Linked DNA regions of Ovis aries. The protein of the gene in region 2 interacts with the protein of the main gene of each other region in a biochemical or structural test. Links are inferred from orthologs where the notes say so. Each region holds a gene or a part of one and is shown on either strand. Other genes may lie near its edges.

The links.
Region 1: the proteins of MXD1 (region 2) and MAX form a complex in vitro, tested with the Homo sapiens proteins (4 studies listed by BioGRID, with this or other methods). The link is inferred for Ovis aries from reciprocal best matches to the Homo sapiens genes MXD1 and MAX.

Annotation. Positions count from the first base shown.
Region 1 is NC_056060.1:75,293,753-75,298,257, forward strand, and holds the start of MAX (protein max), read right to left. Parts: upstream 2,930-4,505; 5' UTR 2,700-2,929; coding exon 2,664-2,699; intron 1,945-2,663; coding exon 1,918-1,944; intron 1-1,917. UniProt on the Homo sapiens protein: Transcription regulator. Forms a sequence-specific DNA-binding protein complex with MYC or MAD which recognizes the core sequence 5'-CAC[GA]TG-3'. The MYC:MAX complex is a transcriptional activator, whereas the MAD:MAX complex is a repressor.
Region 2 is NC_056056.1:38,459,925-38,464,368, forward strand, and holds the start of MXD1 (max dimerization protein 1), read right to left. Parts: upstream 3,107-4,444; 5' UTR 2,870-3,106; coding exon 2,797-2,869; exon of another isoform or gene 2,229-2,796; intron 2,050-2,228; coding exon 1,950-2,049; intron 1-1,949. UniProt on the Homo sapiens protein: Component of a transcriptional repressor complex together with MAX. In complex with MAX binds to the core DNA sequence 5'-CAC[GA]TG-3'. Antagonizes MYC transcriptional activity by competing with MYC for MAX binding.

The DNA of each region.
Region 1 (4,505 bases), on a different chromosome or scaffold from region 2:
TAGATGTGTCAAATTAAAAACAAAGGGTCAAACCCACTCCCTCTGCCCACCCTCCAAAATCAAAAGGAAAATCCTAAGTACCTTAACATCAAACTTAAAATATCTAGACAAAACAATGAGATCAGCACCCTAGGAGAGTGGAAACATTTTAATAATTTAATAAAACAATTTACATCAACAACCACGTGCATGGATATTTTGAAAAGCAGAAAGCTCTCAGGAACTATACGCCAAAATTCCATAAATAAAAATTTTCTCACAGTGGAAAGCCGATATAATTTCAATTTAAATAATAATTCTTCAAAGGAAGCCTAAACAACCCCTATTCTTCAATTCTGATCAAGCCCTAGGGCAGATTTTATAACTGGAGACTTGAAGGAAAACAGACCAGATTTCAAACATGAAATTCCATGTTTATATTATTAAGGATAATAGTAACTGAATAAAAGGAATTTAATTTTCAAATGTATGTAAGAGATATTAAGTATCTAACAATACTGCAAATATTCAAAGTATTGTCTTCAAATACTCCAAGGAAAAATAAATTCTTTTTTACTATTTGGAACAACTGCATTGTTGGATTTTTACAGAAATATCAGCTCTCAACAAGTACACTTTTTCTCAATACCTAACTGCTTTGACAACCTCAGAATTGAGCAGGTACAAGAGGGCTTGCTTTCACTCTGTGATAAATTCTTAGACCAGAGGTCTCTAAGTGGCATCCTTGAAATTCTAACAAGCCCCTAAACAACTTGATTGTCTCAAACATCATTTTAAAAATCAGAAAAATAACATAAAAGTCTGGATTTTTAATCTTCCAAAATAGGAAGATAAGACAACACTTCGCCTGATTCTCACGTAACAACCCACTGGACTACAGTGGCTGCCTTTTCAGAAGACGCATGTGTTCTTAAGTACTGCGGTTCCCACCTCTGCTCTCCACTTCATTCCTGACTATTCACTGCCTGGATCCTCTGGAAGCATCTCAATTTTGGGGCTCCATTCTATCCACTCCCTACTGCTCCCATCTATCAACTGTTAGACAGCATGATTTACTTATTTCTCTTCCTCCCTGATTATGATTTATCTTGTATCTATTCTTTTTACCTTCTATTCATGGAACACCCATAGTACTGTCTCAAGGACATGAGATTAGTGTCTATCTTAAATCCACAGAATCATCTACTGAGAAGATTTATAACAAAACTTTGAGAAATTACTAACAACACTGTATAGTCTCAACCATCACCTCTTAGCAAACCTCTCTCTGCAATGCCACTTTTCTTCAACAATTATTTTATTGCCTTTATACTGCTCCTTCAACTAAAATATAGTCAGATCACAATAAGCTGCTGAATGTGACACGTTCAGAGTCAACCTTTGGCTCCTCTACATTCCCAATGTCTGCATTAGAATAACACCAGGTTGTGAGAGATTCTATAGGTCTACAGCAGTCACATGACTTTTGGTTAAAGGTGATTACTGCATGTGGCTTCAGCTTCACACAACCATGGTTTAGAACCTACTTCTTCCTAAGTAAAACTGACCACTTTTCCCTGAAGTAACACTACAGCTTACTTCAGCATGATGCACTTCTCATTTCCCACTTATATAGTGACAACTAGAACCCCCATCTGAAAACTACGGAAGGATTCATTTCCTTGCATACAACTTCTCTCACTCACCTACATTCACGGAAACTTATCACCTGAGACTCCAGAATTATGAGATTCGCAAACCACCCTCCGCCCCCACCACCACCTAGAACCCCAGAGCAAGGCCCCACCTCACCTTAGCGGTTAACAGGTGAGTTTACTACAACATTACAAGTAACAGAACAATCTCTTTTTCTCTCCGACCCCAAAAAGGACTAGAATTGAACGGAAATGAAAATGAAATGGAGAGTAGGAGACGTACCGCAGATTGAAACCTCGGTTGCTCTTCCTGGAATAAGAGAGAAAAAAAAAATAGAAAATATAGAAGTTATTTTTACACTTCACATTCAATAATAAGAAAGAAAATGCCGGCGTCAGAGGAAGCGGCGGGTGGGGAGTCAGCCCTACCCCCCTTCCCCATCCTACGCCCCCATCCCCCCTAGCGGGATCGGGTAGCGGGGCAGAGGGGTCTCGAGCGCCGCCCCACCTTCCGGGATCCGACCCGGGACAGAAGGGGATCCAGAGCACTGTCTCCTCTCCTCGCACCCAGCTCATGGCATGTGGGCACTCCCAATCCCTCTCCGCCCTCCTTCATTCCCCAGGATCCGCAGGTCACGGGAGCACGGGGTCGCGCGCGGACGGGGCATGGTCCTAAGCGCAGTCCCCCTTCCCCATGATCCGGACAATGGGATCCCCGGCGCACCCCGTCCCCGTCCCCCGGATCCTGAACGGGATAGGATGGGAACGGGAGGCCGCAGCACCTTCCTCCACCGGGGGAGGTTGGGGTCCCAGAGGCCGCGTGTCTCCTCCCCACCTCCAGTCCCAGAAGGCCGCTCCGGCCAAGAGCCCGGAGCGAGCGAGCCGGGAGCGCGACGGGTCCCGGCCCAGCGGGGGAAGGGGAAGGAGGCGGCGGCTGCCCGGCCCCCTGCCGCCGTCGCCCTGCTGAGAACCCCGGCCGCTGTCCCAGCCTGACAACCCGCAAGGGAAGGAAGAAGCCCCAGGACTCACGTCGCTCTCCACCTCGATGTCATCGTTATCGCTCATTTCCTACGGCCCAGGGAGCGGCCACTGCAGCGGCGGCGGGGAAGGGGGAGGGGTGGAGGGGAGGGGGAAGTCACCGACAACAACAAGCCGAGTCCCCCCCCACACACACTCACTCACTCACTCACTCACTCGCTCTCTCACTCACACACACACACACACACGCACACACACACACACACACAACACGGGCGAGAACCACCTCCTCACTGCAGCACCGGATCAACGGCGGCACGCACGCCCGGTCGGCCCCCTGCCACGTGACAGGGCTCGTCACGCTGGGGCCGCCGAGACTTGTAGTTCTTGTCCCTTTGACTTACGGCCCAACTAAGTAAACAAAAACTACAAATCCCATAAGGAACTGCATCCAGTCTTCGCCAGCCCGGCTTGTTGACGGAGCCCAGAGCGCCTGCGTGCCCCGTGGAGGGGGCGGAGAGAGAAGCTGCGCGGTGCTTGCTGGGAGTCGTAGTCCGTAGACCGCGAGTTGTCAGGAGATTTTCCTCCCGAGGCGGCAGAGGTGGCTGCTGGGAAGACAGGACACGTGGAGGGAGCTGGGGCTCCTGGAGCCGGGCACAGGCTGAGCGCCGGGCGCCGGGCCCAGGGGACAGGGTGGAGGCTCTGGAGGAGTAGCCAGCTGCCTAAATAACGCTGCCTCTCCTTGGTGCGACTGGTTTTACTCTGTCTTTGGATGACTGAGTCGCTCTGCGTTGCGCCCTGGGGCGTGACCCTCCTGCTGGGGGATGCTACAGCAGCGAATTAGGGGGCGCGGCTCCGATTGCCCACGCAGACCCTGGGGATCTGGCATTGGGGAGGTGTCAATGGCAGGTGTTGAATGATGTCACAGACCTGGCAAAATGACCGACCACCGGCCTCGCTGAGAAACCTCTCCCAGTCACGAGAATCTAGTGTCCATTCATCCGGGACTGACCATCTTGCTCCTTACTTAAGGGTCATCCTTTCAGGCTCTTTACATGGCAATAAAAGCGCCTTCTAAATTTGTTGTAGAGTAAGAAGTTTAAGGAGTGCCCCAGTTCAGAGTACTATAATTAAGAACTGCAAAAAATACCGAAATGGGAAACTGATGCAGCTCCCTATCTAGTTAAACTCTTATTTAAATATTGTGGCATGAGGTGTGATCGTATCTATTTCACTAATATTTATTGGACATCCAACATGTGCCAGCATGGAACTGACATAATGTGTAACACTGGAACGGACCCTGTCTTTATGACGCTCACAGTTGTGGAAGCAAAAGTGAGACTGCCCTGCTGTAATTTTAACAGTGTACCTTTACAATAAATCCTTAATTTAAAAACCTTAGAATGTTTAAATTGTCGAAAGCAGTTTGGAAATAGATTTCGTAATAAAGCTGTCTTCATTGTATGTTAGGATTATTTCTACTGCAGTGTGGAAAGAAAGATTAAGTAAAAATTCTTTATGGTCTAATGTCATCAGTGGAGACAACTGGAAATTAAAATAGGATGGTTACATTACTGCCTTGGAAATAAAAGCGTATCTAGAGGACTGTAAAAAAAAAGTGTATATTAAGTCCCACAGAAGGAAAAAATAGAAGAAGAGCAAGACACTTTCAAGCCTAAGACAGTTACCAAGCTACTCTTATGTCTGGTGTCTGAAATGAATGAAATCTTGAGTTTTCCCTATCAGTTACTGAATCTATAATGAGAACCATTTTATTCCTGACTTTTGAATACGGAAATTTGGAAATATGTCATTTGTGACATATCTTCCCATGTAAGCACACTATCTGTGCCTAAGAGATAAATGTAAACATGGTAATCTTTACATTTT
Region 2 (4,444 bases):
TGCTCAGGTAAGGGTCATTCCAAACAGGTCATGAAGGAAGTGATTACATTTAAAGAAAACAACCTGGTGTTGCTTCATCTGTTTTGCTTGGTGCAATCTCCAGGTTTAACCATGGTCTCTCAGAGATCCCTGCACCACTTAAATTACTGCACGAATTCATCATTAGTCAAGAATATGGAAAACTGTGAGAGTCTCCCGCTTCTAACCATGGAAAGCAAACAAAATCCATTTACAGAAATAATAGAGCTTTCCCCCAGAGTTACAATCATTTTCCCAGGAATAAAGCTGGATATTAAAGAAAAGAGAAAGAATCTATTTCTTGAATTGAAATTCTCAACTATCATTATTTTTCTTTCCTAATCACCTTTTGGAGAAGGGAATGGCAATCTACTCCAGTATTCTTGCCTGAAGAATCCCATGGACTGAGGAGCCTGGCCGGCTACAGTCCATAGGGTCGCATAGAGTCAGACACGACTGAAGTGACTTAGCATGGCAGAGCATGGCAATCACCTTTTGGGGCCAAGCTACTTCTCTTCGACAACATCCCCTTCTTATTCTCACCACTGAACATCCCCTCAACAACTTTTCTGTGAAACTTAGGAGAAAACAAAGTACTAAGGATTAAGCCTTGACTATTAATGTGAACAATTCCTCTCAAATCATGAGTGGACAAGAGTAAAAGTGAAAAATAAACTACACTTTTCCATAAAAATAAAGCAAAAGGCTTCAATGTCTTTTCAAAAAGTTATTTAAAAAATACTGTAACAAAAAGCAACGTAGATATTGTTTTATAACACTGCACACTACAAGTCAGCATTAACCTTCTTTGGATAATGCCAAAGGTGGGAGGGAAAGGAAAAACCACCAGGTAACTAATTAACAGGTTCATCCTTCCTGTGCCTTCCCATTCAAGAGCTCGGCACATATGTGCTGCTCACTCATATCCTGTGGTTCTTCCAATGCTAAGGACAATGGGGTGAACCAAGGATAGAAGAGGAAGGAAGAACAAGGGAGTTGAAGGTTTAAGTGGGAAACTTCTGGCTTTTAGTAGTCTGTATAATGTCACAGACACTAACCAAATAGTTATTTGCAGAGTATTCATGAGAATGGGAGATAGACAAGGATTCTAAATCAGTAAGGAAAATGTCAATGATTTTCAATCACTGGAATAAAAGGTATAATTGAATGAGTCTAATAAAAAGATTTCCTAGCTAATGTATATATTAAGGGCAAACAGGGGAAAAAGGGGGTGCAACAGCATTAATGGAGTACTCATTTATACCAGGAAGTACATTCAGGGTTTTATTATGTGATTTCATTGATCATTAACCAAATACTTTCCAGTGAGACTTACAAAACTTTAAGAATTACAAGATTAACGTAAAAAGCTTGTGGCATGTGAATATTTTAATATCAATCTATTCCTCCATCACCAAAAAGCAGGTTTGAACCTCAATCGTTCCTCGCTGCCATTATAGTGACAGATTATCAGACATATCACTGTATTTAATTTACATGTCAAATATGAAAGCCTACCATCTATGCCAAATCAAGACTTTAACATATTTATAAAATCTTCACTATGATAAGCAAAACGTGGGTAATGTCCAGTATTTTCAGCTATAGAAAACTTGCCCTGAATCTGCAACTTCTGAAGGCAAAATATTGTCACTGCTGCTAATCTCACTTGAAGTTTCCACAGATTTTTTGTTTCAAAAGGGAAGAAAAGCAAAATTAAGTTCTGGGGAAAAAAGTTCATAAAGAAATAGAAAACACTTCCATTTCTCTTCTCTTCTCAGTCCCCTCAACCCAAATAGAAGGGTTTCTTCCAAAGCCTTAGGACTATGTATACATTACTGAATCACGATTGCCGCTTCATTTACGGGGTTAAAACCCAGTATCATCTGCGGCATAACCTAAAAGAGAAAGGAAAATATTTACCAAATTACCTGCTACTGCTGTTATTCTTCTTGGATTTGCTCCTCCGTTTTAAGGCATCTCTGTCCTTGTTATTGTATGGTAACATGGAGGCATAACCATGTTCAGCTTCTAGAAAACCGGAGGATCCAGTTAATGAATGAACACAGAACAGTCAACACTCTCTCCCCTTCACAGTATTTCCTTTTAAAAATGGATTTATTTTTTATTAAAAGAAGACTGTGGAAATAATTAAAAGGAGCAAGGTGGAATTCTTAGAACAATGATTGTTTTCTCAATTGAGTGAATACCCTCAGTTCGGAGCAGGTGTAAGGAGCATTCCAGCTGCTCATTGTTGAGAAAGACACAGCAAGTCTCAAGGAGCCTGGGTTTCCCATTGGCAACGTCCAGCAGGTTGGTGTATATTAAGTGGGACCGGCCTCAGACGAAGGTGCGGGGCCAGACACCGGGAGCCAGAGCCGAGGTCGGAGGATGCGGGGCAAGGGAGGCGCTGCTCCGCCGACTGGGAGACCCGGCGCCAGGCCCACTTGGGGGCGGGCCGGGAAGAGCCGGGTGAGGTAAACCAAGCGCTTGGCTGAGGGGGCCCCGGGCACCCCATTCGCGACGGGGTGCGGAGGGGGAAGCACTCAGGATCCCGGGGGCAGTGGTCCCTTTCCACTCCCATTCATTGACTTTGGGGGCAGCGACGGCCTCCCTTCGGACCGCGCGTGGGGAAAGCTGGAGGGGTTGGGAGCGCTCGCGGGTCGCGCTCTCAGCTCCTCCAACCACCCCCGGAGAGGCTGGGCGCCGGGATCCGCTGCCAGGCCCCTCAGAGCTCCCGGGACTAGCTCGGGCCGGCCCCCTCCCGTCCCCGTGCACCTCTCTCCCGTCGCTCCAGGTAGTCGGCCGCCTCCAGCAGCATCTGGATGTTCATCCGAACCGCCGCCGCCATTCTGCACCGGGGGCCGGAGCCACGGGACCAACCCCCACTGGACACGGGCTCGCCGCCGCCGCCGCCGGACACCCGCGCCCCGCTATGGACCCCGCAGAGCAGGGCTGAGAGAGCCTCTCTGGCGACCACGCTCGCTGGAAGGGGGAGGGGACCGGCGAGCTGGGCACCACCGACACCGTGACAGAACCTACAGAAGAGCAGCAGCCGCCACCGCCGCGGAGTGTTTATCCCCGACTCACCGTCCCCCCGCCCCCAGGCCTTTCTCTTGACAGGCCCACTTCGGCTGCGTTCCTCATTGGGCGCCCCAAAGAATTCCCCGCCCCCGGACCTGTCCGATTGGGGGAAGGCACTACGGCCCCGCCCCTCAGAGTCCGCTCCTCTCCCTGGTTGGTCACGCTTGACAAGGCCCGGGCTCCACCTCCTCTTTCCAATTGGTGACAGGATTCTCAACTCCGCCTCATGCTCCTTCTCTGTTTTCCATTGGTTCTATACCAACAACCGGGCCCCCTTTTGCTTTGTTAGTATTGGCCAAGAGATACAGAAAGCAAGCCACTTTGCCTGTCTCCCATTGGTGGGACCTTCCGACACCGCCCAGCTACGATGACGTCATCTTTCCCCTGGCTAGCGATCCCTGAATGGCTAGTGGTTAGACGCCGGGCTATTCCTACCCCAAACTGGCATTGGATTGCAGGGCTGACCCGGGCACCGAGCCGCGCTGATTCACCGACCCCGCCTCGGACCTGTTGCCGGAACCTGTCTCCGAGGAAAAGTTCCGGGGATCTGCTGGACGCCCCTAGGGTGGAAGCTGGCACCGCGCGTCACCTGGGCGCTCTGCCCTGCTCGGGTTCGGGGCCAGATCTCTGGGTCTGCTGGCTGCGGCCCGGAGGTTCCAGGCTTTCCGGGGCCGAAGGCCCCGCCGACAGCCCGATAGGGCGGTGGGCCTGGGGCTCCGGCGAGCGCCACGTGGCTGTAGAGCTCGGCGGGGGAGACTGTGTTCAGTGCTCGCCACCCAGCGTTTTTTTTTCTCTCCCCAGAAAGCACTGGAATCGCGAGGCTGTATACCCCGCCCTAAGTGCTGGCTAATTACTCCCTCAAGCGAGTGGATTTTAAAAGCTCAGAAACTTCCTGTACCTGCAGATTGACGTTGAATTCTGAGATTTGTTTGACATCTCTTTGAGTCTTCCCTTCCCTTTTATTCTTGAGGAAAACATTCAAAAAGAATACTTCCTATTCAAGACGGCTATAAATGGTGTTAGTGTGTGTGTGTGTGGTACCAATATAAATGTACGTAGAACAGAACAGAACTAAAATTTTTAAGAATTGTTCCTTAAGCTATCTCGAGACCCAAGTTACACTGTTAATACACTGACAGCTCCATTAAAAAAAAACTGAAATAAAACTCTTGGTAAATTGAGACTCCTGAATATAGAAATGAGTAAAGCATGAACATATTTAACAAAGCTTTTAAACAGTTTATTGTTGCCAATATGTGAAAACAATAGCTTGTCAGGTAATTTACCTACATTATTGCTAATCCTCAAAATAACCCCACTAGATAGGTTAATTATCTACGTT